Linked DNA regions of Ovis aries. The protein of the gene in region 4 interacts with the protein of the main gene of each other region in a pairwise test. Links are inferred from orthologs where the notes say so. Each region holds a gene or a part of one and is shown on either strand. Other genes may lie near its edges. The genes, in order: RABGEF1, PLEKHB2, phospholipid scramblase 2, DAZAP2, SQSTM1, POLI and TNIP3.

Evidence for each region.
Region 1: the proteins of DAZAP2 (region 4) and RABGEF1 interact in binary tests that used the Homo sapiens proteins (3 or more experiments, as listed by UniProt). The two-hybrid records come from large-scale screens. The link is inferred for Ovis aries from reciprocal best matches to the Homo sapiens genes DAZAP2 and RABGEF1.
Region 2: the proteins of DAZAP2 (region 4) and PLEKHB2 interact in binary tests that used the Homo sapiens proteins (3 or more experiments, as listed by UniProt). The two-hybrid records come from large-scale screens. The link is inferred for Ovis aries from reciprocal best matches to the Homo sapiens genes DAZAP2 and PLEKHB2.
Region 3: the proteins of DAZAP2 (region 4) and phospholipid scramblase 2 interact in binary tests that used the Homo sapiens proteins (3 or more experiments, as listed by UniProt). The two-hybrid records come from large-scale screens. The link is inferred for Ovis aries from reciprocal best matches to the Homo sapiens genes DAZAP2 and PLSCR1.
Region 5: the proteins of DAZAP2 (region 4) and SQSTM1 interact in binary tests that used the Homo sapiens proteins (3 or more experiments, as listed by UniProt). The link is inferred for Ovis aries from reciprocal best matches to the Homo sapiens genes DAZAP2 and SQSTM1.
Region 6: the proteins of DAZAP2 (region 4) and POLI interact in binary tests that used the Homo sapiens proteins (3 or more experiments, as listed by UniProt). The two-hybrid records come from large-scale screens. The link is inferred for Ovis aries from reciprocal best matches to the Homo sapiens genes DAZAP2 and POLI.
Region 7: the proteins of DAZAP2 (region 4) and TNIP3 interact in binary tests that used the Homo sapiens proteins (3 or more experiments, as listed by UniProt). The two-hybrid records come from large-scale screens. The link is inferred for Ovis aries from reciprocal best matches to the Homo sapiens genes DAZAP2 and TNIP3.

The regions. Positions count from the first base shown.
Region 1 is NC_056077.1:28,721,940-28,725,745, reverse strand, and holds part of RABGEF1 (rab5 GDP/GTP exchange factor), read right to left. Parts: exon of another isoform or gene 3,090-3,806; intron 923-3,089; coding exon 753-922; intron 1-752. UniProt on the Homo sapiens protein: Rab effector protein acting as linker between gamma-adaptin, RAB4A or RAB5A. Involved in endocytic membrane fusion and membrane trafficking of recycling endosomes. Stimulates nucleotide exchange on RAB5A. Can act as a ubiquitin ligase.
Region 2 is NC_056055.1:114,910,912-114,915,456, reverse strand, and holds the start of PLEKHB2 (pleckstrin homology domain-containing family B member 2), read right to left. Parts: upstream 2,948-4,545; 5' UTR 1-2,947. UniProt on the Homo sapiens protein: Involved in retrograde transport of recycling endosomes.
Region 3 is NC_056054.1:242,583,680-242,587,485, reverse strand, and holds part of phospholipid scramblase 2, read right to left. Parts: intron 1,447-3,806; coding exon 1,244-1,446; intron 1-1,243. UniProt on the Homo sapiens protein: Catalyzes calcium-induced ATP-independent rapid bidirectional and non-specific movement of phospholipids (lipid scrambling or lipid flip-flop) between the inner and outer leaflet of the plasma membrane resulting in collapse of the phospholipid asymmetry which leads to phosphatidylserine externalization on the cell surface.
Region 4 is NC_056056.1:134,989,174-134,993,571, forward strand, and holds the start of DAZAP2 (DAZ-associated protein 2), read right to left. Parts: upstream 2,861-4,398; 5' UTR 2,779-2,860; coding exon 2,766-2,778; intron 1,764-2,765; coding exon 1,645-1,763; intron 1,231-1,644; coding exon 985-1,230; intron 69-984; coding exon 1-68. UniProt on the Homo sapiens protein: In unstressed cells, promotes SIAH1-mediated polyubiquitination and degradation of the serine/threonine-protein kinase HIPK2, probably by acting as a loading factor that potentiates complex formation between HIPK2 and ubiquitin ligase SIAH1.
Region 5 is NC_056058.1:1,203,402-1,207,641, forward strand, and holds the start of SQSTM1 (sequestosome-1), read right to left. Parts: upstream 2,801-4,240; coding exon 2,596-2,800; intron 2,178-2,595; exon of another isoform or gene 1,913-2,177; intron 773-1,912; coding exon 677-772; intron 152-676; coding exon 1-151. UniProt on the Homo sapiens protein: Molecular adapter required for selective macroautophagy (aggrephagy) by acting as a bridge between polyubiquitinated proteins and autophagosomes.
Region 6 is NC_056076.1:54,026,384-54,030,979, reverse strand, and holds the start of POLI (DNA polymerase iota), read right to left. Parts: upstream 3,069-4,596; 5' UTR 3,040-3,068; coding exon 2,886-3,039; intron 961-2,885; coding exon 838-960; intron 1-837. UniProt on the Homo sapiens protein: Error-prone DNA polymerase specifically involved in DNA repair. Plays an important role in translesion synthesis, where the normal high-fidelity DNA polymerases cannot proceed and DNA synthesis stalls. Favors Hoogsteen base-pairing in the active site.
Region 7 is NC_056059.1:4,592,455-4,596,260, reverse strand, and holds part of TNIP3 (TNFAIP3-interacting protein 3), read right to left. Parts: intron 3,441-3,806; coding exon 3,321-3,440; intron 498-3,320; coding exon 372-497; intron 1-371. UniProt on the Homo sapiens protein: Binds to zinc finger protein TNFAIP3 and inhibits NF-kappa-B activation induced by tumor necrosis factor, Toll-like receptor 4 (TLR4), interleukin-1 and 12-O-tetradecanoylphorbol-13-acetate.

The DNA.
Region 1 (3,806 bases), on a different chromosome or scaffold from region 4:
AAATTTTAATGCAATTCTGAAACTACTTAATTTTTCTGGACTCAACCTCTATGTGGAAAAAAGGTTGCTCATCACTGGCATACTCTAGGAGTGGAGAAGATAGGAACGAAGAGGAAAAAGGTGTGGGCAAGAGTGGTTCACTGTTGAAACTATGGGTTAGAAATTACAGGGTAAAGACACACATGGAGAGGACACAAGCTGTTATCCAAGTGACCCTGGATAAGTCACTCATCCTCGCTAGCTCTCAACTTCCCTACCTGTACAATAAATGGACAGAAGTTGCTAAGGTCCTTTTCAATGTCTAAATTTTAGCTTTCACTTCTCTACCTGAGCAAGGACAGGAAAATTAAAAATCAAAATACAAAACCAAACTAAACCAAAAAAAAAAAATCCTAAATGATTATTCTTGGTCTAATGATTACTACTTAAGAGTTCAAGGTCTACTATGACCCCCTTGGCAGCTTACTATTTATAAGGTGACAAGTTAGGAAGGCTTATTACTAAAGGACACAGTATAAGTGGCTTTGATGCCAGACTTTCCACATGAAGATGATCCAAATACCATTGAGTTGCAGTGGAAAAGTATTAGCCTTAGAGTCATGTTTAACTTGGTTCAGTGACATTTCTCAGGTAAGTGACAACATTTCTGGATCTTTATTTTCTCAGTTGGAAATTGACAAAGTTTCACTAGATTATCTCTAAGACCTTTCCTAAAACCAAAACTCTACATTTCTAGGTGGTTCTCAACCTACCCTTTTGTAATGCATTGCTTCCAAAAACAGCTTGGTCTGCTTATAGATTTCTTGGCCTGTCTTGTGGAAGGTCTTGAGAAATTCTATGAACTCTTTAGACACTCTATCCGTTTCAATGCTGGTTTGCCGGTTTATGGAAGGACTGGGAGCTTTTGCTTCCTGAATTTCTGCTGGGAAAATTAAACATAGTAAGTTTCATTACACGAAGATCCATGCATGGAATTACTTTAAGTACCTAACCTTAGATTATTTAAATTATGCTAAATCAAAGTTAAACTTGAATTTAAGTTATTTTATGTTTAAATATTTGGATTCTCCTTGTTTGTTTAATCGCTAAGTCGTGTCTGACTCTTTTACAACCCCGTGAACTATAGCCCACTAGGCTCCTCTGTCCCTGGGATTTCCCAGGCAAGTATACTGGAGTGGGTTGCCATTTCCTTCTCCAGGGAATCTTCCCAACCCAGGAATCAAACCCCTGTCTCTGCACTTCAGGCAGATTCTTTACCCCTGAGCCAGCAGGGAAGCCCATGCACCTAGTAACACAGCTTTAAAACACATGAAACATAAACTAAAGAGAAGAAATTTAAAAATCCATAATTTTAATAAGAGAGTTTGATGCTCCCCTCTTGGTAATCAATATTATAGGTAATACAAAAAAGTCAATAAGGACAGAATACCTGAACAATGCTATCAGACAACTTGAATTAATTGATATTTATAGAACACTCCACCCAACAAAAACAGAATACACATGCAATCTGACAAACTAACAGTGGTAATAGTTTACATACAGCAAATGCTTATTATGTGCTAAGTACTTTTCCGACGCTTTGTTGTATAATCCTCACAACTCTATAAGCTAAGGCTTGAGAACGTTAATTAACTTGAATGATGCTGCAGCTATTTAAGTGGCACAAGCTGGAATCTGAACCCAGGACTCTGTGCCTTAACTCTGTAGCCTGAGCTCCTTACTATGCAGTATCTGCCTCAGCATGTCAGAGTGGACTGAGGACTCTTTCCAGGGGACACCATGCCCTGAGACTCTGCGGATCTGTAAGCCAGCCAAGGGCAGGGAAACTCTGGCCATCTCTTTTATTGCCTTACTTGTGCACACTCTCTCCCTTCAACAAATACTATTTTCCAAAGACAGATGATTTTGATTTTTAAAAAATACTCTTTCAAAATGCTAATGAAAGATACTCTGTATGATACTATAATGGTAAATACATATTGTTATACAATTGTCCGAATCAACCGCATGTACAATGCCAAGAATGAATCCTTATATAAACTACATACTTCTGAAAATCATGTGTCAATGTAGGTTCAGCAACTGTAACACAAATGGCCCACTCTGGTGGGGGATGCTGATGCTGGAAGAGACTGTGCATGTGTGGGGGCATAGCACATATGGGAAATCTCTGCATCATCCTTTCAATTTTATGTGAACCTAAAACTACTTTAAAAAAACTTAAAAGAAAAAAAAAGATGAACTGCATTCACCAGTTATGAATTAGTATGTGCATGCATGCTTGCTAAGTCACTTCAGTTGTCTGACTCTTTGTGACTCTATGGATCACAGCTCACCAGAATCCTCTGTCCATGGAATTCTCCCAAAGAATCCCTTTCTACCCATTATCTAGAGTCACAAAATTTTAACATTTTGCTCCATGTCTGTGTGCAATTTTTTCTAAATTTTTTCAGAGTAGATGGTATGTATCATGTTCTTTATCCCTTAGTTTGAGTATTTCTTAGCAACAAGGATATTCTGTTGCTAACTATAGTTACTGAAAAATTAGCATTTTTTTTTAAACACAGGATCAAACTGAGGGTCACACAAACTGAGGAGACTGGTCATACAGTCTAACCTGGAAATGTGTCTTTGTTTTTTTCATGACACTGACAATTTTGAAGAATATGAGCCAGTTATTTTTACTGAATGTACCTCAACTTGTGTTTCTCTACTGTTGCCTCATGACTAGATGTCAGGTTATAAATTTTCAGCTTAAATATTACATAATTGATATTGTGTTCTTCTCAAATTATCATATCCAGAGGCACAGAAGGTCCATTTCCCATGTTGTAATACAGCTATCATTTCTTTATTTGTAATCAGTAAATAAGCTGTGGGAGTTAACCTGAATCATGGTTCACAACTTGTTCCTCAGGAAACTCCCTCCTCTCACCCTAGATTCAGCATCCACTGGTGAAACCTGTCTGAACCAGTTCCTACCAGGATAACTATAAAATGGTGATTTTTCTGTCTCCATCACTCCTATATTTGTTAGTCAACATTCTATGGTAAGCAAGAGTTTTCTTCCCTTCTTCATTTATCTATTTTATTAGTTGGATGGACTAATGGATTGTTGTTTTATTCATCTACAGTCCATTTATATCTTTATTTGTTTTGATATCCAATTTTGGTCAGTGGGAACCCATTCAAGCTGACCTCTGGGTGTTTGACATGTCCCCAACATTTCTGAGGGGCCCTCCTTTCCCAGCTCCAGTTCCAGAATCAGTCAATTCTCCAAGGAACCCGAATTCACTTCAGTGTAGGATAGTATTTAGAATCTAAGGTCTAAGCAGAAAGACTGGCATTTTAATTCTAAAAAAAAAAAAAGGACAGCCTTCCTTAATCCCTCCTTAGAGCATAACTTTTAGATTATTTGTAAAAGATGAACACAAGATTCTACTCAGGGTGACATTTATTTGACCGCTAAAGAAAAAGAGCATTTTAGAATGTATGAGCAAGTATTTCAACTTGGCTGACCCACTGTGATTTACTCTAAACTACAGCTCACTCAACCCTGCTTTGGAGATTAAAAAACTGAAAGTAAATTCTCTGAGTCTTTACAGTCAAACTGTCCCATTAATCTTCTCTGAAGACACAGCCAACTCTAACAGGAAGTTAAAATATTTTTCAAATCCCTTAGAAGGTTATTTGTGTTCTACGTACCACCAACCTGCCCTGGCTTAAGAGCTTTCTTTTGTACCACCAATAGAAGCAAGTAAAATGTCAAGAGCAAGGACATCTTGTATTAACAAGGTGAAATA
Region 2 (4,545 bases), on a different chromosome or scaffold from region 4:
GTTTTCAAAATGGAGGGGGAAACTTGTTATATTTTTAGGAATCAAAAATCATAAAGTATGATTCTGATAATATGCTTTTAAAAAATTCATAGAACCTAATGCTTCAGAGTACAGGGTTTGAAGTCAAAAGAACTGCGTTTAAATCCTGGCTCAATCACTTATAAATCACCTTGGGCAAGTTACTTAGCTTTTCCAAGGCTTAGTTTCTTCATCTATAAAGTGAGAATACTAATTCCTACTTGGATAAGATGTTTCGAAAATTGGGTAAAATAGCTTGTGCTTGCATAGTGTGTGACAGTTACTAAAACCAACAAATGGTAGCTACTCCCACAGCAATTATTACTACTATTTTTGCTATTATTTCCTCACCATCCACCTAAAATTTGCCCGAAACATTCTAGAAGACAGAAGCACATGAGGCTGCTTCTCAAATGGCTTAGGAGACTTACTAAGATGCCCCTGGCTGTCAAAATTTGAACACACAGTAGAAGGGGGAAAAAAAAAAAAAAACATAAACCAAAAAACCCTTCCCAGAATACCTAACTAAATCAGTCTCTGAAGAAACAGTAATAGCTTTCTGACATACCTTGCTGAATTTCACTTTCCGTGTGTGTTTGTGTGTGTGCACACGCACACAAGCGCTTAATCGCTCAATCGTGTCTGACTCTTTGTGACTTCACGGACTGTAGCCTGCCAGGCTCCTCTATCCATGGGATTCTCCAGGAAAGAATACTGGAGGGGGTTGCCATTCTCTTCTCCAGGGGATCTTCCCCACCCAGGGATCAAACCCACGTCTCCTACACAGCAGGCAGATTCTTTACCTTCTGAGCCACCAGGGAAGCTATACCCTGAAGTAGGATCTAATGCATAAACTAAAACTCTACAGGAGTAGAGTTCTACAGGACAGAATACCTACCAGCAAACTAGCTGCAAAATAGCCACCTTACTCACATACCAATAAAATCTACAAAAAGTTTTAAAAATACAAATCATATTCAACATTTCATTTTTTGGGGGGCGCACCTCTTGCCTTATGGGATCTTAGTTCCTTCCCCATCTAGAGATCAAACCCAGAACACACACCCTGCCCTCACCCCAACCTTGGGGCAGTGAGAGCACCCAGCCCTAACCACTGGACTGCCAGGGAATTACTCAAGTCACTTTGAATATGAACTCAAATCACTTTAAAAATCATTGAATCTTAAAGGGGACCAATTTAAAAGTTGGAAAGAATATTGCCTTTGGAATCTGACAGTTCTGACTAAAAGCCCACTTTACCTGGCTTATTTAGTTAGCACTGTCTACCTTTCCAAGGAATATGACTACCTCAAGAGTGGTATCTGGAGACTTCCCTCACAGTCCAGTGATTAAGACTCCAAGCTCTCACTGCCAAGAGCAGTTCAATCTCTGGCTGGGGAACTAAGATCCCACAGTTGCACAGCTGGACAAAATTTTTTAAAAAGTGGTATCTGTTCATTCTGTACCTACACATTTCACAAATTCACTCCCTGAGATTATCAGGAAATTTACCTACTAGGGGCTTCCCTGGTGGCTCAGCCGGTAAAGAGTCTGCTTGCAATGCAGGAGACCCTGGGTAGGGAAGATCCCCTGGAGAAGGGAATGGCAACCCACTCCAGTATTCTTGTCCGGAAAATCCCATGGACAGAGGAGACAATCCATGGGATCCCATAAGAGTTGGACACGACTGAGTGACTAACACTTTCACTTTCAGAGGAACTAGTATTTTAGCTGTAAAATTACTTCCTTACCAAAGGAAGGAAAACTTTGTTCTTCAAGGACTCCAAAACAACACAGGGGACAAGGATTGGGTAATCTATTATCATTCAGAGGTCAGTTCATATTTGGTGTTGGCCATTTTACATACTGATCAATTTTTAATAACAAATCCAATACAAGCACCCATCAAAGGACAGACAGACTAAAACAAAGAGGCAAGAAAGTTCAATACTCTGTACTCAGGATCAAATTCAGAAGCAGATATACAGCCAATAAAATAGGACTGATTCAACCAGCCCACTTTTTGTAACTTTTCAAAGAATATTTGTTTGGCTGCACCAGTCTTAGCTGTGGCAGGCACGATCTTCCATCTTCATTTTTATTGCCGCGTGCAGGATCTTTAGTTGCAGCATGTGGATCTAGTTCTTTGACCAGGGATTGAACCCCAACCCGTGCATTGGGAGTGCAGAGTCTTAGCCACTGGACCACCAGGGAAGTCCTTTTGTAACATTTTTAACAGTTAATTTTACTCAACAGTTTTTGGTAGTTACTGACACTAATAAAGTAATTCTTTAATTTCTTTAGACATTCAGTAAGAAACAAAAAAACAGGACAGGAGAAAGAACCCAAATATTAATGTAGGATAGCAACCTGGTAAGTACAGCAGCAAACCTTCTAGAGTGAAATCAAGAAAAACCTCTATTTTCCCAAGAAGTAATATGACTACCTCAAGAAGGTATCTGTTCTTTCCACACCACTTACACATTTCACAAATTCAGTCCCTGAGATTATCAGGCTACTTACTTGCAGAATATGCTAACACCATTAAAAACATGCTAGTAAAGAAACGGCATTAGGTTCTGAGTTCTTTTCTGCAATCTCCTTCAGTAAGCATTTACTGACCACCTATATTGTGCCAGACACTCTCACCTGCCAGGATAATCCTGCAACATATGTTTGATTCCTGCTCTCAAGAGATTTGAGGGGGAGTTGGGGGAAGGGCCGGGGCATTACTTAAGTCATCACTACCAACAAGAGTAAACACTAATCACAGGGAAGACCAGACAAGCACCTGCCCAGCTCTCTCCCCAACAACCACCTTCTATCAATAACCGTCAGACCAGTCCAACCCAGCCCAGGGTTAAGAACTTCCTGGGCCGAGGGGACGTGCTGAGCACAAGAAAACCAGCTGCAGGAGCAGTCTTGCTGCACATGCACGTAACACTTCTATTGTACTTTGGTCATTATTTGTCAGACAAACATTAAGGGTCGTAAACAAACAGGTAGTTAACAGGTAAGTAGCTCGGGGCCCTAATTCCCCCTCCCTTCGTAACTGAGACAAGTCACTTCCTGCACTGGAACTGGTCTCCTCAAAGTTCAACAAGACCCAGGAACTTCCTTTCCTTTATAGACAAAAGCGCTGCTCCCTCTGGCAGTGGCTCTACCCCGTCCTAGACAGAAAAGACATTAAAAAAAAAACGAGAGCTTCTCAGGAGTCAATTCCAACATGATTTAAAATTAACTATGTCCCCCTAGATTTTTTTTTATACTGTGACCGTCTCACCTCATTCCTTTCCCCCGCTCACCCCGGAAACCTGGAATTTTACTATTCGGTCATTTATAAACACGTTCCTGTGTAAGCTACTCTACCTTTGAGTTAAAAGAACAAAAAACCCCTGAGCTCTGAGATTCCTAATGTAACTGGCAGGTGAGACAATCTGTCAAAAAAAGACATAATGCAACTAGGAGCACCTAAAAACTAAGACACTGCAAAACCGAGAGTAGATGAAACCAAGCGGAGAAGGGCCCCACACGCGAGCGCAAAGCTTCAATGCCACTCCAGACTCCTTCTTAAGGAGGACGAGACCTCCAGGTGTGAGGAGAACCAAAGAGTCCAAATCCCCTGGGCTGGCGGGGCAGCAGGGGTGGAGTTCTGCGCCCACACTGCAGATGGGCAGCGGGCCGGCGGGGGGCACCTGCAGGAAGGGGGGCAGCAGCAGGAGCTGTCCAGCAGGCCGGGCGGCTCCAGAGGAGGCTCTAGGGAGAGAGGGAAGGAGCCGCTGAGGGGTCAACTCGGATGGGGCGCGGTCGCGCAGCTCCAAGGGAGGCTCCAGAAGGAGAGAAAAAAGGGACGAAGGGAGGGGGGTTTCCTGTGGAGAAGACACAGGCGGACGGCTATAGGGGAGGCTCCGAGGGATCGGAGGGGCGGAGCGCGACGGTCTGGAAGGGGGGTCCGCTTGGAGGAGGCGAGGGCGGCGGCTCTTGGACAAGCTTGGGAGGGCCCGGGGGAAGGAGGGAAGCAGAGAAAGAGGGTGACATGGAGGAGAAAGGAAGGGGAGAGGAAGGGCTCGGGCGGGGCTGGGGGGCGCGGATGGGCCTTTCCAGAGGAGACTCCGGGGGGACCGCCGCCTGGGTGGGGAACGGAGGGCACGGGCCTGGGGTCTCCTCGGATGGGCGCAGGGTGGGTGGGCCCGGCCGGAGGGCGTCTGGGTCGCCGAAATCGGACAGGAATATTCACCTGGAAAGCGTCCGGCCACCACCGCGCACAGAAACAGGGCCGAAGCGAAAGGACACTGCCCGGTTACTCGGCACCGGCGGCCTCACGCTGGCGTCCCGGCCGCCGTCAGACGTCACGCCTCCCGGCGCGCATGCGCAGGGCACGCGAGGCAGGCCGGACGTGCGGCGGGGCCCGAACGGGCCTGACTAACGGGGGCGGCGTGGGCAGGGTCGGGCTTAAGTTTCAACTGGAAGGGCACTGTAGACTCCCCTGACATGGCTTGTAAATACCACTTTCCCGCAAAAGGAGCT
Region 3 (3,806 bases), on a different chromosome or scaffold from region 4:
GTGTTTGTATGTTTTAAAAGAATGTATATAATCAGTTATCAACATTTATTAATAGTTAATAACTGTTTGTATCACTTCTAGGTATAAAATTAAAGTTAGTATATTCTTAACAACTACTGAAACGTGTTTATTTTTAATGTGGGCAAATTCAAGTCAAGCAAAATTGACTTACACTGGAATCCGTATAAAATTAGAAAAAAATGTTCCTTCCAGAAAGGGCCTAAGAAATATTAAGACCTTTTCATCCATTTAAAGAGCTTTTTACTACAAATAAAAACATTTTTCAAGTGTGCTTAATATCATTTATAGTAGGTGATGACTTCCCCAAATATATTGTAAGGGCTTAATTTTTCTTAAAAAATAATATACTTAGGGTATTTCTTAGAGAATTTAGGAACTACCAAATTCTTATATTATATGCAGCCCAAGTGCATTATGGGAAATTAAATTAGTGCAGAGTGAAAGAGAGACAGCTCATTTGCTGAAAACTAACTTACCAGATTTCTAATGCCAAACAAATACTAAACCTCACATTGCTGAGGTAAGCCATTATGCTGTACATTAAAACCCAGGAATGTTTTTTCCTTATTGGTAGCATTAATAAAATTCGGTCTTCTAAAGAACAAAAGCAACATAAAAATGTAATTTTCTAATTATTATAAAAGGTAGGTCATATTATACACAGATTATTAACTCCTTTCTTAGTACCACTTGTGGAAAACGAACACTAAATTGAGTCTGCTGTTTCTTTCCAACTCCTGGGAAGTTATTCAGTGTTGGGATTAAAAGGCACAGTTTTCAGAGCCAAGGTCCCCGAAGTAAAAATCTGTTCCTACTTCCTGTGCATTTTGATGTTGAGTAAATTATATAACTTCTCTGTACCTAAGTTTCTTCTTCTGTAAAATGGCGATAATTATAATACTTACATATCACAGCATTTTTTTAAAAGAATTAAATGAGTTACTACATGTATTACACTTAGGAATAAAGCATGGAAAATAGTGCTTACTAAAGGTTTGCTATTGGTTGTTACTGCAGATTATATTCAAGATCATAGAACACACAATTTCCTAAGACATTTGCATTTTGCTGTAAAAGTAAACCTGACCTAGAAGAATTAGAGTAATTTGTTAGTAAAGTTGTTTACTGTTTCACACTTTTGTGAATTAGTTAATTGTTAATCTCATTAAGTAAACTGGGAGCACTGTTTTGTTTTTAATGAGTGTTTTAGGTATTGAATTACCTGAGTTAAATATTCCAGTCCTGGTGGGCAGTTTAATGGAGGTAGTGGTGCTGGCATCCATGGTACCTGTGTGGGCTCTCCTGGGTGACCAGTCACTGGCTGGTATTGGACAGGAAGGCCGACTGGGCCAGGACTTGCATAGTCAGGCGGTGGCACTTGATAGCCAGCCTGGGGGTCAGAATAGCCAATATGTCCTGGAGGTCCTGAAATATGAACATGTGAAATAATTCATAACTGCACAGAAAAATGCAAACCAAGTCTTTTAGGATCACCCCAGTTGTCTACAAACTACAATTTCTACTCAGAAGAAACAGGATTTCTAAGATATTTTTAAATCTTAAGATATTTACGATTCTTAGGATTCTAAGATATTCTTATCTTTCAGTGATTTTTCAATGAGGTATCTGTGCTTTCATGTCCACTCCTATTCTGAGGGCTTTAGGCTCTGTGTACAGAGTTGCCACACAGACTTATCCTTATCAGTCAAAACTCAGATGAAAATATGCCTGAAAACTAAGGAAGTAAAATAAAGTCAACAACAATCTAGAGTCAGGTACATAAAACTTCTGAAATGGCTTCTTGAAAAAGAGGGATGGCATTGAGGAGAAAGCCCCAAATAGAGGCTCTGAGTCAGCATTTCTATGGCCAAACCACCTTGTGAAAAAAATGATTATAGAATTCTAACAAGTGATATTTCCTATACGTATAGTTCTGACAGTAGTTTTGTCCCTTTATTGTATACTCGACAACATCTGGAGACCCTTCTGGCTGTTACAATTGGAGGGTAGAATTAGCCTCAGGTGGGTAGAAGCCAGGGATGTTGCTAAATAGCCTAAAAGCACCAGAACAGCACCCTGAAAAAAAAAAGAATTATCCCTCCGAAAATATTATGGTGCCTTTGTTGAGAAACCCTCATAAAGAGGTAAAGGCATGTCATTCCTTCCACTACTGTCCAGATACTCCCTTGGGTTAACAGTTTGCCTGAAGTTTTAACCCATGGTGTATTCCATTCCTAAAACCCTCCACATAGGAAAAAAAAAAAAAAAGTTTAATTATGATACTTCCATTCCAAATTTAAATTTCACAATTTAGCAACTTTCTGGAAAATATAACTTGAGAATCAAGGAAGGTAAAAACTTCTAGCAGGCAAAATTGTCTCAAGTATTTATTAAGCACAGTAGTGGAATAAATTCAATAAGTATTTACTCTATTCCACATGAATTTGTGATTACAAATATGAAGCTTTGTAACTTTATAATTTAAATGAATAGTCCACAGAGGAACTGTTCCATAGGAATGGAATATAACTTCAAAGAAAATTCTATGTCCTACAATATTTTAATAGTTGTTGGTTGTTTTCAGTTGCTAAGTCATGTCCAACTTTTTTGCAACCCGATGGACTGTAGCCAACCAAACTCCTTTGTCTGTGGGGTTTCCCAGGCAGGAACACTTAGTGGACTGCCATTTCCTTCTTTAGGGGATCTTCTCAACCCAGAGATTGAACCCATATCATCTGCATTGTCAGGTGGTATCTTTACAATTGAGCCAGCCACTAGGGAAGCCTCACCCATTAGGTACTGTCTGTAACATCAACATATCTATTTTTAAACAGCACTAACTATAGTGAAAAGATTAAACCATAGGAAGCCAGTGAGGGAGAGATGTGAATTAACTGGTTACATTATTAGCATTATTAAATCTTCACAGGATTCTTTGAGAGAATAGTTATTTTCCAAATCAATGGATTAAATAGGCATATGGAATTACCTGAAATAATATTTCATTTACTTAAAGCACAATTGATTTAATATATTACTAATATAATGGCAAATATGTGTCATTTATTAATTGTAAAGCATTGTGCTGGGTGTTTTACACATAGTCTCATTTAATCTTCAGACCACCTGAATTAAAAAATATTATGCCCATTTTATACATAAGAACTGAGGCTTGGAGGTATAGCAACTTGCTTAAAACCATTACACAATGATTAAATATAGAAGCCAAAACTTGAAGCCTGATCCAGTCTCTCTATACCTGTTTTTGCACTTGCATAATTGGGATAATCAATAGTATTTACCCTGTTAATATTGTCTGACAATTAAATGAGTTAATCCATAGTTAGCATGATAAGCTCTCAATTTTAATCCATCACTGTTGTTAGCATCATTATCATAAAAGACCTGTACTACATGAGCCTTAGACTTGAGAAATAAAGTTGAGCTATTTTTCTCACAAGCTCGCCAGTCTGGTTATAACCTAGTTATGTACTATCTACTGTTATTTAGCCATGGGTGGATTAAAATATCCCCCAAGTGCTAATAATTCTCTAAACACCAACCATATAAAATTTTCAAGTAACAGTTCTCATCCCTGGCTGCACATTAGAATCACCTGGGAAATTAAAAAATTACTAATCCCAGGGTGCCACAACCAGAGCTTCTGCTTCAGTCTTCCTGGGATGGTGCCCTGGTACTACTGTTGTAGTTAACAAGTAATACTTAAGCCTATGCACCTCTGAGAACTATCATCTTAGAACCTTGACAGTCTTTCTACTTCACAT
Region 4 (4,398 bases):
ACGAGGACATTGGCTCCCTGCATGACTGCCAGCTGAGCAGCATTGGGAGGGCATCCAGGGGGAGGAGGCTGAAAGGAAAAGACAAGGTTGATTGGGCAGAGGGCAGCTATGGGAGGGAAGTGGACAAAGGTGAAAAAGGACCAATCAGGAAGATGGCAGTGTGCTAACCAGCGGCATCTCAAAGAGCTATCTGGGCCACCAATCTGAGTCCAGCAGGTCTACATTCTTTGTAAGGCCAAAGATATAAACAGGAAACCCACTCATTTAAAGGGTTCTGGATCCAAAATAAAGCCTATGGATACCTTCTAAGTGTGGGAAGTCCAGACTTGGCATTTTCAGTGCAGAAAATCACTCCTATTCACATCCCAAAACGGAGCGGGTACCAGGTCCAGGGACTTATATCACAGGGCCTGACAGTTTTCAAATGGCCCTGGATAATCTGAAGGCTCTACCTGATGACAGCATTTTCACTTCATCCCTAGCCTATGGTTATTGAGTAGATGGTCCTAGCAAGGACCATATGGGCTCTAATTCCCATACATAGGGGAACTAATCAAGAGACATTGCTAAAATCCCTAGTATCTCTCTAAATGCAATTTAATAGGGATTATGCATTGTTTTTTTAATCGTCATGGTTCCTAATACGATGCCATGCTGATGGCACATATAAATAAATGCTTATGGAATGAATGAGGAGTGTTACTAAACTAGTATCAAAGTGAACTGGAAAAGCAGCAGGCAGGACTCCTAAGACAGGAAAACAAAGGAATCTGATAAATTCTAACATCAGTGAGTACGCCAGATGTTACTGACTGGCCACGGTTCTCCTGCCCCTTTGAGTGCTTTCTGCCTGACTACTGGACGTCAGTGATTATTACACCAATACCAGCAACTATTACCCAGGGATGATGAAAGGATGACCAGTCATTTCAGAAAGTTAAAATACACAAGGGTCGAGCTTTTTTGTGACCAAGTCATACTCACAGGAATGTTTCCGGCAGTAGCGCCAGCTCCAAATCTGGCCCCTGTATCATACCCTCCTTCCACCAGCACTGTTGAACCAGGTGGATAGATGGGACCAACTGGATAATAAGCCATGGGGATTGTGGAACCTAAAGGTCCAACAGCCACAGACTGGGCCATGGGAAGATACAGTGAGGCGCCAGGAAATGCAGCTGACATGGTGGGGACGGTGGCAGCCCCCGGGTGCACAAAGCTCGGACGATAGAGCTAGAAGAGGCAGAAGAGAAGGCAATAAGTTACTTCATGACATTCCTATTTCAGATCTCAATTTAATGAGTCAAGTCTTAATTCTCCTTGTGCAGATTACACTCTTTGAGTTACACAAGTTGCCTTTCCACTGCCACTCAATATTCTCCTGGATCACTTCCTGCTATAGCTAATGTTAGGCTCAGGGAATGCAAACTCATCTTCTTAACTTCAGCCAGTGCCAAATAACATAAAACAATCAGATAATGCCTTCTCAAACCCAAAAGAAATGGCTGAACTATGTCACGTTTTAAGATGATTCATGTGAGCACTCTCTTCTGTTTGTGGAAAGTAAATAAATGTGTGGAGCCAGACTTGGCCAAGGACCGAAAACATGATCCAAGAGTATTCCATTATTAAGTTAACTGGAAGCACCTCTGAGTAGGCAGGTGGAGCATCAGTATAGGGTGGAGCCTGAGGAAGATGCAAGGTCTGAGGGTACACAGGGTTCCCAGGAGGCTGCACAGGGTAAGTTGGCTGCGTTGGATATTGACCTGGAAGACAAGGGGGGAAAAAAAGCATGTTGTCTACCATACAGTCACCAAAACAAAGCAGGGCATATTGGGTAGCTAATCTAGCTGGGATAAGCAAAAAGAGATTTCCAAACAGACTGCCCTAGAGGGCCTGATTCCTGGAGCCAAGAAAATAAGCATTCTCGTTGCACCCTTAAAGCTGAAGAAGCTGGATTCCAACTGGACATCCAGTAGCCGACTGCTGTAAGGGGAAAGTCTAGCTGGGCCCAAGATCCTCTCAGAACGCAGGGCAGTTCTGGGCATCCCCTCTAGCCGGTATTTCAACGGTGTGTCCTGTCTCCCTGTCCTGCGTGGTCTCCAAAGGTCTGGTTGTAACTGACCAAGACCTCGTGAGTAACGGTGGTTGTGGTCATCGACCTCACAGGTTCCTACTCAAGGTCGACTTCCAAATGAAAAGAGTGAGTGGTGGAAGTGAATGCTGAGATCGTGGAGGGGGCTGAAGGGAATGTTCTGACACAGAAACCGGGAGACTTTCTGGCCGCCAGCGAGGGTAAGGGGGAAGAGACCCCCTTCGGGCCCGACTGGCCCGCCCACCAGAGCGGCACTTTACTAGTTAAGCCCGGAGGCCTGCCTGTGGTTCCGGAGCGCGGCGCCCCGCCTCTGCCAGTTCTCCATTGGCCTACCCAAATCTCGCCTCCAGCTCCCCATTTGCTCCTACAGATGCCCATCACGACAAACCTTCTCCCCACCCCCCCAACCCACCCACCCAACAGCCCCCCCCCAACCCGAGTCCGCAGCTCCAAACTGCGCCACAGAGTTTAAGGGAGAAAGGGCCGTGAGGGAGCGAACGGCCGTAGTTCGGGAATGACGAAGGTGTCTGGCGCAGCCCCGGGCACTGCAGCTGGCTCAGGAGCGCGGCGCACCTCGCCCCAGGCCTGGCGTTCGGTGACCCTGGGCTCCGGGCCCGCTCGTTCCGGGCCAGCACTAGTCCCCCCGGCGGCCTCAGCCACCCCCTATCCTTGCCTTTGCTGTTCATGGTGGCTGCGGGTCCGGCTCGGCTCGGCGTCGCGGACGGTTATTTTTTTCGTCCTCTTCCTGTTCGTAGTCACTTCCGTGTCACGTGACGATCTGTCCGCCTAGCGTCACCCGACGCCCGAGTGCCGCTGCCACCGGAAACCCCGCCCCTTCGCCCGGCCGCCGGTTGCAGGAGGGAGGGCCCGCGTGATCCCGTCCGCTCGCGTAGGCCCCGCCCACCGGGTCTGGTCCTCCAACCCCTACCCTTGTCCCTCGGCTGAAGGAAAACCAAATACAGGTATTGTCTCAAAACGGGATCTTCTCTCTCTTGAACGCTCGGAGGCAGTAACATTAAACTATTCTCTGGAACCTTTTTCCACCTACGTTCAGCACCTCAAGGTCACCTCACCTTGACAGCCTTTCTACAAGGGGCATGCATGCTTGCTAAGTCTCATCGGTCGAGTCCGACTCTGTGCGACTCTGTCCATGAGATTCTCCAGGCAAGAATACTGGAGTGGGTTGCCATTTCCCATGGACCGAACCGGAAACTAACACACACACACACACACACACGGGACATAGATTCCTACACACACACACACACACACACACACACACACACACGGGACATAGATTTCTACAATCTTACCTAACTGCCTGAGATGCTTCGCAACCCTTGATCTATCTCTCGTTCCCCTCACTCAAGTCTTCACTGCCTTTCTATTCTACCGATAGGCTGTCGGTGTTTTATTTCTGTGTCGCTTTCTCACCGACAGAAAGGGTATGCTGTGCTGTGCCCCGCCCCACCCCGCTGCAACAGCTAGCACTAAAACGCATGTTCTTGGTACCCAAGGAGTACCCATGCCCTGGCCCTTACTTTGATACCTGTCACAGACACCTGTATGGTACCTGATAGGTATTTTCTCTGTGTATCCCTTCTCTTCTAACTTAATCGTTCTTAAGAGCAAAGATGCCATCCTTTAAGGCAACAATTGCTTCCATTCTTTAAGATATTTGCTGAACGCTTGCTGTGTTCAGGTACAGAGATGGAGCTGAACAAGACAGCCCAAGGCTATTTTCTCATGGTTTACATTCTGTAGTGTAGGAAGAACATTAGAAAAGCATCTGAAAAGAAAGCTTTGAAAAGAAAAACCCTCGGTAAACATTAGCAACCTGATCCATATTTGCTGTTGAATGACTTAAACCACTGAAAAGACCAGTACTCACTTCATCAGCAGTCCGCTGTTTTTCTCTCCAGTGTCAAATTACAGTTTGCAGGACACCATTAATATGCATGATTTTATGGAGTCATCACAGATCTTCACAACAGCCCTGTGTGGCAGGCAGGGCTTGTTTAAGCATTTCTGTTTTTCAAATGAGAGATTTGCCCTAAGTCACACAGTGAACAGGTTACAAAGTCAGGTGTGTTATCTTGGTCCCCACCCCCACCCCGGTTCCCAAATCAGTGGTTTGGTTTTGTTTTGTTCTTATCCCTTTACTCTGCCTATCACAACTGCTGCTGCTGCTGCTGCTAAGTCGCTTCAGTCGTGTCCGACTCTGTGCGACCCCATAGACGGCAGCCCACCAGGCTCCCCCGTCCCTGGGATTCTCCAGGCAAGAACACTGGAGTGAGTTGCCATTT
Region 5 (4,240 bases), on a different chromosome or scaffold from region 4:
CACAGGTCATAGTCAGGACAGACGCTGCACTTGTAGCGGGTCCCCACCACGGGCCCGTTGCAACCGTCACAGATCACGTTGGGGTGCACCATGTTTCGGGGCACCTCCTGAGCACACGGGGGGCGCTGGTCCCGCCGGCACTCCTTCTTCTCTGCAGGCAGGATGGAGAGCCGAGACTCTCGGTGAGCCACGAAGAATCACACTTGGGGCCATCGGTCAGAAGGCCCACAGTGCCACCCTTCAGACACTGAGTCCACCCGGAATTCAGGTGTTCAACTGACAGTAACAAAGCAGCTCCAGAACCTGCTAAGAGGCTCCAATCCCTGCACCCATGACCTGGAGACGTGCGGCCCAGGCAGGAGCAACAGAGAGCTGTGTCCATACGGCTATGGTCTTGACCCGCACTAAACTAAACCCCAAAGCTGCCCTGGCCCATGACTGCAATCAAGAGGGAACTCCCCTCAAGAAAAGAGTGAACCCAGAGACCCTCCAACCTCACCCCCTGTGGTGAACACAGACTCGTTTCTCAGGTCAAGCAGAGTAATGACTGTGGTCCTGTCTTAAAGAGGCCCAGTCTCCTCACCCCTTCTTTGGAGGAACTTCTGCATAACCTCAAGCCAGCTGCACTCAGCAGGGAGCACTAGGCTTTAGGCAGCACCCCAGCGCAGCCCCTTACCTTTAATGTAAATGCGGAAGATGTCATCCTTCACATATGACATAGCCATCGTCAGCTCCTCGTCACTGGAAAAGGCAACCAAGTCCCCGTCCTCATCTAGATTGTTTAAAAGACAGCATGTGAGCACCCAGCGTGTCTCAGTTGGACACAGCTGCTGAAAAGGGCTGAGGCTGGTACTGAAGGGCCACTGCAAGGTTATAAACCAAAGCCCACCTGTCTGACCCAGAGAAAAGCAGGGCTGAGGGCAAACCACCCGCTCACTCCACTGCCTGGAAGGTAAGGACTCCAGCCCGGGCCGTGGACACACGCCAGCAGCAGTGTGTGCAGGGACGGCAGTGACAGCTCCTGCCCACTATGCTCTGCCTCTGGACCAGCTGCCCCATCAGAAGGCTGCTGTCTCTGTGCACATCCCGCCAGACCCAGTCCCCATGTCAACGTGGAGATCCCCATCTATGACCTGCTCCCCTTGGACCGCTTGTGGCTTAAAAGACTAAAGCAGAATACATCTGCCTGCTTCCGCCCCCAACAAAGTTAAAATTATGTATTTGTATGTAGTCTCCAAGTTTTAGATGTTGGCACAAGTGGTTTAAAACATCACCATGCAAGACAAACCACACCATACATCTGCAGGCTAGATCAGGTCTGTGGGTCACCAGATGCAACATCTACCAAAAAACAGTGGCTGTATCAAAAGCCAGAAACAACTCAAATGTCCATCAGCTAATGAACAGCTCAACAAAATGTGCTGTATCCATAAAATTGAATGTTATTCAGCCACAAAAAGGAATGAAATACTGATACATGCTGAACATACGCGAACCTTAAAAACATCATGCCAAATAAAAGAAGCCAGTTACAACAGACTACATTTCTACATGAACTGCCCAGAACAAGGGAATCCATAAAGTAGGTTAGTGGTATCTGTGGCTGGAAGCATGGGATGGGAGGATCGCTAAAGGGCAGAGTTTCTTCAGAAGGTGATGGAAAGATTCCCAGATGACTGTGATAATGGCTGCAGAAATCCGTGAATATGGTAAAAACTGTACACTTTGAATGGACGAATTCTATGGGGTGGTAGCTCAATAAAATCGCTAATTTTTAAACAGGTGGAAAAAAAAGTTGGGAGCCTGGCAGCAGTCCAGAAGAAGGTCCTAGCACCGCCCCACGTACATGGGCCCGCCTCCCTCCCAGCACAACAACCTCCGCTAACCCCACACCCAGCAGCCAGCTTCTCACCCGCGCAGCTAGAAACTGAGCTGCCTCCTGGACTCTGTCCCTACACCATTACTTCTAAGAACGTTTTCTCTTGTGCCTCTCATCACTGCCAGTGGGATAACGCCTGGATTCCGCCTAGCCCTGGCTGTTCGTGAGGCTGCTCGACCTCTGCCAGCCGCCCGCCAGTCGCGGGCCAGGCCGCACCACCGAGCGCCTCGCCTCCCGGGGCGTTTAACGGCGTCACCGCTCTCCCCGCCGGCCCTTCCGCGGCCGCCCGCCCCGGCTCTTCCGGGTTCTCGCCACAGCCCCCGCCTGGCGCCGGCAGACCCGGACTGCGGCAGCCAGGAGTCGGTGTAACCCGAGAGGCGCTGGGGGAGCAGGTGAGGACGCCCGCGCCCTCGCCAAAACCTGCACTATCACCGCGGGGGGGAGGCCTCTCAGGCCGCCAGGCCTGAGCCTCGCCGGGAGGGCCTGGCGGCGCCAGACGCCCCCCTCGAGGGCTGGCTGCGGCCGCCGCTCCTCGTCAGCAGGGCGGCACCAGGACCGCGCTAGGGGCCCACGCGGGCCGCCGTCCACCCGGAGAGCCGCCAGCGAAAACCCCCGCGGGCGCCGCCCAGGCCGAGGCGAGGGGCCGTTGGCCCGCCCGGCAGGGCAGGGCTGCGTCACGGCCCCGCACCGCTGCCGAGGGCGCCGGGCCCGCTCACCGCGGTAGTGCGCCTGAAAGCCGCCGGGCCGGAGCACAGGAAAGAGCGCAGCCACACGGCTCAGCAGCCGCTCACAGGGCCGGGGGCCAGGGGCGGCCTCGGCTTCGGCCTCGGGCTCCGGGCTGAAGCAGAAGCTGAAGCGGCGGATCTCGCGGGCTGCGTCTTCCTTGCCCAGAAGGTAGGCCTTCACCGTGAGCGACGCCATCACCGCCACTGGAGGAGCTGGAGCACAGCTGGGCAACAGCGGGCGGAGGCGCGCGGCTTTTGTAGGGACGAGGGAAGCCGCGCCCCCCGCCACCGTCTTCTGGGGGCGGGGCCTCAGCGCCCGGCCGGGGCTCGCGAGCCGCCCTCCGGGAGCCCCAGGCTCACTGCCCGCTCGTCTCCGCCGGGCCCCCTCATTGCCGCCCCCTTTCATCACCGCCCCTAATGCACCAGGCACCCCAAGAGGCCGGCCCCCTACTCCGACATCAAAGATCTTTCGCCAGCCTCTTCACCTGGGGACCCCTCCCAGGTCTGGTCCTGGCTGTGACTCAGCAAAGCAGAACCCAGGAGGCCTGGAGATGCCCGGTGCAGGAGGAAGGTGGGCGACAGAAGCCCGAAGCCAGGAAGCTCCTAGGCGCTCAGCGGGCACCGCCATCTAGAACAAATTGGCTCCTGACGTGCTGTCCTGACCTTGCCACTCTTGGCAGAAGCCCCTCCCTTTGAAGCCATCAGCTTCTCAGGTGGCAGCCCACTCCACCATCCCCAGCATCCTCCATGACAGCCCTTTACTGAGTCTTGGAGGGACAGACCCTCCCAACTGAAGCGCAAGCAGCAGCTCCCAGTTTGACAGAGGGTAGGGTTGAGAGGTGCCAGGACAGCACAAAATATTCCCATCTCCACCTGACCCGGAGGGCTTGCTAAGGCTTCCTGGAGCCTCAGTAGCCACCAAGTGTTCAAGTGCTCCCTAGAAGACTCGCCATTGGTGCCTGGACACCCATTTGTCATCAGGTGGTACCCAAGGGCCTGAGGGGGTCTCAGGTCTGTTGCCTCATGAGCAGCCCAATAGGCAGATCAACAGCCTACCGCCTTCCTGTGCTGGGCATCTCCAGTTTTATGTGACAAAAGTGACCTGTTCAAACAGCCTGGGGGAAGGGGTTGGGATGCGTGTCTTAGAAGAAGGTAGTCGAGAAGGTATGTCACCCTATGAACCCTCCCAGGTATGGTTCTGTGAGTAGAAAGTCAAACCTGCTGAGTCAGATTCATGCTTTTTCATGGTGGGGTTTGTGGAAGAAGGTAAAACTTCAAGGAATAAGGGGAAACCTGGAGACCACAGGAAGGTCAGTTGGATTTGGCTAGTCAGATGCACTGGTGCGATGCTTGTGGAAGCACAACTGGGGCCTGTTCACAGGGTGGCTTGTCCTTCCCAGAGAGCTCCAGAGAAGGCAAGGCTTTGAACTGCTGTCTAGAACCCTGTAGAGAGGACAGTCTGTTCTCAGGCTTCTCCCGGCATCCCTACTTTGAGCCTGAGAAAAGACCCTCTCTGCCTACTGCCCTACAGACAGAGTTAAGGGACAAAGAGGGAGCAGTGCTGGGTGGAGGCACCCCACAGGTGCCCCTGTGTGACTCAGCAGCTTGAGAGTCACTCAGCCCTGGGCAACGCAAG
Region 6 (4,596 bases), on a different chromosome or scaffold from region 4:
CTGAACTGGGCTTTATCAAAACCAAAGTAGACACCAGGGGGTAGCAGCAAGTGACCAAAACTGCTGTTGATGCTTTTCAGTTCAGTCGCTCAGTTATGTCTGACTGTTTGCAACCCCATGAATCGCAGCACACCACGCCTCCCTGTCCATCACCAACTCCCGAAGTTCACCCAAACTCATGTGCATCAAATCGTCGATGCCATCCAGCCATCTCATCCTGCCGATCCCCTCTCCTCCTGCCTGCAATCCTTCCCAGCATGCTTTTACTCAAAGATAAATCCTTACTACATGCATAAAATTTTAGAAATTTACTTTTCCAATGTAAAAATAAAATAAGCCAAAACACAATACTCGGTAATTCCCCAATGTAAAATTTCTTTGCCTTTTATTTTAAAACATACTTATGTTTTCATGAAAAGCTTGTACTATGCATGCCTTAATATTTTGGGTTGTTCAAAATCCAGTTGTTTTGTCACACAAAATCCAACTATTTTGTTACACAATTCAATAGTTAATTTCAAAAGTAGAATAGTTGAAAATGCCTATTAAAATTTTTTTAAAAGGTTATTCTTGAGATAAAATGGCTGTAAAATTTCAAACATTGAGAAAAAGACCAGAAGTTTATTGTGGTCTTCCTGTTTATTTGGTTAATTACACTGCTTCTCTCACATTTGCCATTTAGTAAATGAGGCTCATGAAGTTTACATCCAGTAGTGAAATAAAGATTACTGTCCATAAAGCATCAGAGAACTGCTGCCAACATTAATATGCTTAATAAATCAGAATAAATAACAAATCATATCATACAATGAAAATAGTATCAAAGTCCAGAATTACCTAAAGGTTTGTCCTTTAGTTCTGGATTGGAGATCATTTCTACTTGTGCATAAAAGCAATCCAGATCCACGTGTACTATGACTCTACATGAAGAACTTCCTGCTGGTTCCAGCTCATCATGAACTGTGGCACAATATGCAACCAAATGAAAAAAACACATTCAGCCTGTTTATCACCTCTGAGCAACTGCCAGTCCCTTAAAACATGGCAACCAACAAAGAATATAGAGTGATTTTTAAGTTTTTTTCCCCTGGATTTATTACATGTCTCAAAGAATCTAAAACTTACAAGGATATGAAAGAAACTCCACCTACAAGAGAGTCCTCAGGCCTGTTTACTATTTCTTGGTGTATTGCATTTTTCTCAGGATAGTAATAAATTTTAAGGGAAAAAAACCTTTTATCAATAATGGAAGACGCAAGAGGTAATCCTAGGACTTTGAAGTTTATAGGAAAACTTAAAGTAAGTTGGAAAGGGCTGAAAAGTTTGTAAACACAAATCTTCCAACCAACTTAAAAATTATCCTTCCCTGGTGGCTCCTTGTAAGATTTAACCTGCCAACGCAGGAAACTGAAGTGACTTAGCAGCAGCAGCAGGAGACATGGGATCAAACCCCAGGTGGGAAAGATCCCCTGGAGGAGGAAATGGCAACCAGCTCCAGCATTCTTGACTGGAGAATTCCATGCACAGAGGAGCCTGGTGGGCTACAGTCCATTCCATGCAATCACAGAAGAGTCAGACATGACTTAGCGACTAAACAACAACAAAAAATTATTCTAAGTGGCATGTCCTTAAAAAAACAGCCTGAAACACAAAACAGAAGGCAGAATCTATGGGTCCCAGTGGACTATATTTAGCTCCCAAGAGATCAGGATTATTTGGTTCAATGCTGAATAGCCGATACCTAGACTACCAATGGCAACCCACTCCAGTACTCTTGCCTGAAAAATCTCATGGATGGAGGAGCCTGGTAGGCTTCAGTCCGTGGGGTCGCTGAGTCGGACACGACTGAGCAACTTCACTTTCACTTTTCACTTCCATGCTTTGGAGAAGGATATGGCAACCCACTCCAGTGTTCTTGCCTGGAGAATCCCAGGGACGGAGGGAGCCTGGTGGGCTGCCGTCTATGGGGTCGCACAGAGTCGGACACGACTGACGTGACTTAGCAGTAGCAGCAGACTACCAACAAATACTTGCTAAATTTAAAGACTGAGTAAATATTTCCTGGATTTTAAAAAGTAGTTCACATCTTGGTGGAGGGGTCAGAGGGATAAGACAGGAGATTTCAGCTATTAACAGCAGTTAAAAACAAGGCAGGCTAAAATGCCATGTGGTATCCTGGTTTGGAGTTTGGAACAGAAACAAATTAAATGGAAAAAAAAAAAAACCCTGGTAAAATCTGAATAAAGCTTGTCCTTCTGTTAAGAGTATCAATTACTATGCCAACGTTACTTTCTTTTGACAAATGTATCACGGTGACGTAAGCCATTAAAGTCGGTAAAAGTTATCTGTGCATCTCTCTGTAAATCTGCAAGTATTTAATATTTTTAAAGCTTTTTAAAAACGAAGGGCTGGGAGACTGGGAAGGAGAGAGAGCCTTGGCCCCAAACCCCGGGGGTTGGGCCCCGAGGCTGGAAGCGGATCAGCAGAGAGGCGGCCACTTGCAGACCCGGCCGGGTTCGGTTCCGAGCCGGGCGGTCCCTTCCGGGCTGAGGCCGGGCCGCAACCGCTACCAAGTGAGCGACAAGGTTCCCGCTTCCGCAGCCCTGAGGCCCCCGAGGCCCCTTCCGCTTTCGCGGGGCTGTTTGAGGGGAGACGAGCGCAGCCTCCATCACCCCACTGGACGCGCCCGGCCTTCCCCTTCTGGGCGAAGCCGCCCCTCTCGGGGACCGTGGCCTCAGAACACCAAGCGGCGAAGGGCCGCCCTCTCGGCGGAGCCGGGAACACGCCAGGACGCGGGCGGGGAGGGGACGGTCGCTCTCCAACGGCCGCCGCCGCCGCCGCCCGGGGCGCCCGCCCTCGTCGCCCCGCCCCGCCTGCTCATTTACACCAAGGGAGGTCGTCGGGCTCGTCAGGCTCCAGCGCCCCGGGCCAGCCGCCGGGCGCCCCCGCCTCCGCCCGCTCCATGGCCCGAGTCGAGTCCGCTTCCTCGTCGTCGTCGCCGCCGCCTGCCTCCTGGGGCTCCACCCCCCGCTTCTCCATTCCCCCGCGGCGACCGCCCACCGAAAGGCAGCTTCCGGCCGCGGCCGCCCGCGCTCCGCGGGGAGCAGCGGGGCTCGCACCTGCGCAGTGTGCGCTTAGCCGCGGGCTACCTTGATGGTCGCAAGGGCTGCAAATCCTCCTGACTTGCCTCTGGGACTTCTCTCCAGCGTAGCCTTGAAGGAGGGTTTACCATCCCAAACAGCTCTTCCCAGCCCCCGCATGCGGTCTTCGGAGTTACGTTCTTATCACAAGTTTTAAATGTTTATTTTTATGTAGAAGGCAGCTTGTTCTCCCGGTCAACTGTTAGAAATGCTAACCCGGAGATGCTGAAATTTTATGGTGATGGGGGTGGGGGAATCGATGGAAATTATGGTGAGAGCCAGGCGACCTTGTAAACTGATTGTGTTAGTTGCTCAATCGTGTCCGACTCTTCGCAATCCCATGGACTGTAGCCCACCAGGCTCCTCTGTCCATGGGATTCTCCGGGCAAGAATACTGGAATGGGTTGCCATTTCCTTCTCCAACTAATACGATTAGCTAGTATGTTAAAATTGCGTTTTGTTGTTTGACTCAAAGATACTGTGACACTGCTGTATTTAAAGTGGAAAACTTAACGAGGACCTACAGTATAACACAGGGAACTCTGCTCACTGTTAAGTGGCAGCCTGGATGGGAGGAGAGTTTGGGAGAGAACATGTGTATAGGTGTGGCTGAGTCCCTTCACTGTTCACCTAAAACTATCGCAACATTGGTAATTGTCTGTGTGTCTGTGTGCTAAGTCCCTTCAGCCAGCTGACTCTTTGCCACCCTATGAACTGTAGCTGGCCAGGCTCCTCTATCCATGTGATTCTCAGACAAGAATATTGGAGTGTTTGCCAGTTCCTTCTCCAGGGGATCTTCCCAACCCAGGGATCAAACCCACATCTCTTAGGTCTTGTGTGCATGGGCAGGCAGCACTCAGTTCAGTTCAGCTTGGTCAGTTGAATCCCACTTTTTGCCACCCCATGGACTGCAGCACACCAGGCTTCCCTGTCCTTCACCACTCCTGGAGCTTGCTCAAACTCATGTCCATAAAGTCAGTGATGCCATCCAACCATCTCATCTTCTCTTGTCCCCATCTCCTCCTGCCTTCCATATTTCCCAGCTGCTGCTGCTGCTAAGTCACTTCAGTTGTGTCCGACTCTGTGTGACCCCATAGACGGCAGCCCACCAGGCTCCCCCGTCCCTGGGATTCTCCAGGCAAGAACACTGGAGTGGGTTGCCATTTCCTTCTCCAATGCATGAAAGTGAAAAGTGAAAGTGAAGTTGCTCAGTCGTGTCTGACTCTTCGCGACCCCATGGACTGCAGCCTACCAGGCTCCTCTGTCCATGGGATTTTCCAGGCAAGAGTACTGGAGTAGGGTGCCATTGCCTTCTCCGATATTTCCCAGCATCAGGGTGTTTTCCAGTGAGTCAGCTCTTCCCATCAGGTGCCCATAGTATTGGAGTTTCAGCTTCAGCATCAGTCCTTCCAATGAATATTAAGGACTGATATCCCTTAGGATTGACTGGTTTGAT
Region 7 (3,806 bases), on a different chromosome or scaffold from region 4:
TCAAAGAAAAATGGTAAGAATTTAGAAACAACTTCAATGTATTGGAGTGTTTCGTCTTTGAATATAAGTGCTATTTAGTTCCAACTCTCATTCTACCAAGATAAATATTATGAGAAAAAAGATCAAAAGAATTGGATTTTGTAAAAGACTTTGGAATCCAATTTCTTGGATAACTCTTTAATATACTTAAGTTAAAAGGAATCGCCAGTCATTTTCATCTCTTTATAAAATTGTTTACAAATGATTTCATCCCAGATGTTAATCTCTCAAAAAAAAAATGGCCATTAACAGAAGCCAAAATATCTTGATTTTTTAATGAGAAAATAAATATAAAATACATATGTGCTGGCAAAGGTTATTTGAACTTATACCTGAGAATTCAGCTTGTTCAACTGGGATTGAGAAGTCTGAATAATTCGCTGTAGCTCTTCTTTTTCTTGATTAAGTCTTTCTCGGTCTAATCGCTCCTTTTTGAAGTCTTCTTCATATATTTGCACCTAGGAAATGTTAACATGCTGTTACTGCTAGCTTCCTTTTCTCTTAAGCCATTTAAATGAGTTCAGAAGAGATGCTGTCTGGGTTTGTCCAATCTGAGACATGGATGTCCTCTTTTCATGAATATTTCTTTATGGTGGGACTCCATCTTGATACCTGTGACTATAATTTCATCTTTTAGTTTGTTTAGAATGGCACTTTCTCTACTTTTTTCTCATTGAGCAGTAATTCATAAGTAAATTCATGGATATTTTGAAAAAAAATTCCCTTCACCAATATTTCTATTGCATATTACATGACTGTGAGGACACCTTGACCCCCCTGACTCCATCAATGTTAAGAGTCACTGTTTTGGAACAAATCACTCATCTCTAAAACAAGGCTTTGACATAAATATTGCTTGAAGTTCTTCAGTCAGTTTACTGACAATAGCTAAGCGAAGCCACTGACTACTGACATGTCAAAGTTTCTAAACAGAAATTATAAGTTGAGTACAAGTTAAAAATGAAAGGCTCATGTACGTGGGAAACCAAGGGATGTTTGTTAAAGGACATTCATGAGAGTTGCCCTTTATAAGTAACTGTGGGCATATATCATAAAAAGAGGAACGTTTTAGTGGAATGCCTCTTGAGATGTACTCCAAATATTGTAGAAAAGTAATCAAAACAACCTTGCCCCAGAACAGATTTAATTATTGTTTGTTTTAATTGGCACAGTGTTGATTGGTGGCTTGGAGACTAGAATGTGGAGTTATGAAAACAAATGAAGCTTAAGGAATGAAGCAAAGGAATTCCTCTAAAACTAGATTTAAATCATAACATACATGAGAACCTAACATTAAACTACATTGCACCATCATCACCAACAGTGCAACAAATTTTAACTAAAGGATTATCAATTTTAAGTTAATAATAACAGAACAAAGTGTAATAGGCAAGAGAGGAAAAAATGAAACATTTTATATAGCTCTATATGCAGATATACATATTTAATTTCAAGCCTTTTTTCATCAGAAGGATTGCAAAGGAACTATATGCAGCCAAGCTGACATTTTGTTTTCTGGTGTTGGGTTTTTGTTTTTGTTTTTTTTTTGGTTGAGAGTAGCAGTCCAAAGGCACAGATACAGTTTAATCAATGTATAATTAATAAACAATTACCAGAGGCAACTAAAGTGGGAGAAGCCCATTGATCAGAACAGAACACACTTATAGTGATGTCATCACTTAGGTGGCCAATTCAAGCTCAGTTTCTTTGTGAATTTAAATTCTCTAGAGTTTCACGTAGCACTTGGTGGTGTAATTATTGTAGGTACCCATTTAGAAATGTGCACAGTTAAAATGTGAATGTAGAAAGCTAGCAAAAGGGCCATACAAAAATGAAGGAGATTAATCCTGGTCTACTCTTGGGGGTTATGAAAAAAAGAATACTTGCCACTATCTCTGTCAAATACAAACTAAACCATTACTGTAAACACTGCATGTAAGAGCAACTCTCCTGCATGAAATTTACATTATGTGAGAACAATGAAGATGACTCGAGTGTCTGAACATAAGCAGTCCGTTTTTCAAAGGAATCCTGGTTTGTGCCAGTGTTACTTCAGGGGTTGAGAATCTGGCAGTTTTAACACTCTGACTATACCCTTAATCTCAACATGGGTTTATTTCTAAGCTGTATATTTGATCCTGAATGTAATGAAGCAGATTGTTCAAATGGAGTTGATAGAAGAAAAAGATCCAATTTTACGTCAAATGCTCTGGATATTTTAGATTTATAAATAGTTACATTCTATGAAGTAATAAGAGTAATGTAAATAACAATATCACAGTTGCTCAATTCTTCTGTGTATTGCATCAAGATTCCTTGTAATTGGCACTTGCTCGGAGCAAAACAGCCAACAAGCTACTCCCAGGGACATCAGAAAATCCTACATATACATTCTTTGTTCTGTGACATCCTGCCCTGCAACCTGCCATTGTTAACATATCACCAACCATGTGTGCTTCGAGGATTGGAATTCCTGTATTTCTCAATATCACCTTGAACTGTTCCAGCCCTTTACCTATGCTAGTTCATTTCACTTCTCATAGGAAAAGAGATGTGATATGCTCGAGTGGCCCTGTGGCTAAGCCAGTTCCAGCTATATGAATGGAATTTAGGCTCCGGTAGTTTAGGCAGTGCTATGTCCCATAGCCCCGTGCCGCTGATGCATGCAAGAGCTTATTAGAGCATCCTTGACTCTTGCTGTGTACTTGGCAACAGTGAGTGAAGCAGGCTGGGTGGGAAGGAGGAAGCCATAACTCGTCAGTAAATTCCTAGGCAGTGCCATCCATACGTGGGAGTAGATAAACAGATGTGCCTCCTCTGATCAGCGCAGAGTATTCCCTTTAAAACTGCCCTCATTGTTGCAAAGCCTGGAAGGTCTGAAGCTACAGAGAAGCAGCCCAGCTGCTACCATTTTCTGAAAAGGTCCAGAGTTTAGGTTAATAGTGTCTTCGAAATAAATTGTGTCTGTGTGAAAATCTCTGGAACCAGTGCTAATAGAATTTCACTAAAAGGTTAATTAGCATGCCCTTCTTTTAAGTTGTGTGCTCTTGGGCAAGCCACTCGACCCATCTGAAATTCAATTTTCTCTTTTATAAAGTGTCAGAGTTGGACTAGTTGATCTAAATTTCCCCATAAAGCTTTAAAATTAGGTAATTATAATTAGATACATGCAAAACCCTTTGACACAAAGTGAAAAGCAGGACTTCTAGAAATGTCTAAAGCAGCACATGAACAACAGGCCCTAAGTTCTCCTCAAGATTGCTCCACTTTCAACTTCTCACCTGCTGTTTGAGAACTTCCATTTCTGTTCGCATCTCCTCATGGCTGCACTCCATTTCAGACTTCCCCAAAGGGTCCTCAGGAGATGAAGAACACTCCAGTTTCAAGGCATCCTGCAGAGCCTGTATTATAAGATAAGCACACTGTTGACCTAAGAGTTGCCACATATGTATTTCTCTGCAATTATTACAATCGTTTCAAATGCACTCACAAGGTAGAAGTTCATTTTTAAAGGCCTCACTAAATAATGTTATTCTGATTTTCTAGCATATATGCATTTTTTTCCAGAATCTCTGTCTTTTCTCCATGATGGTGCTTATGTTATTCAACTCTCATTGTGACTTAAGAAGGTTTTTAATATTACAGACCCTCCCTCCCACCTGACTAATCATAGTTGGAAAACAGATACATAGTCTTTCTCTAGAGTCTCTGCTTCAGTCAAATATATGCTCCATCAATAAAGCTCAAACTTTAGGAAGCATCAGAAT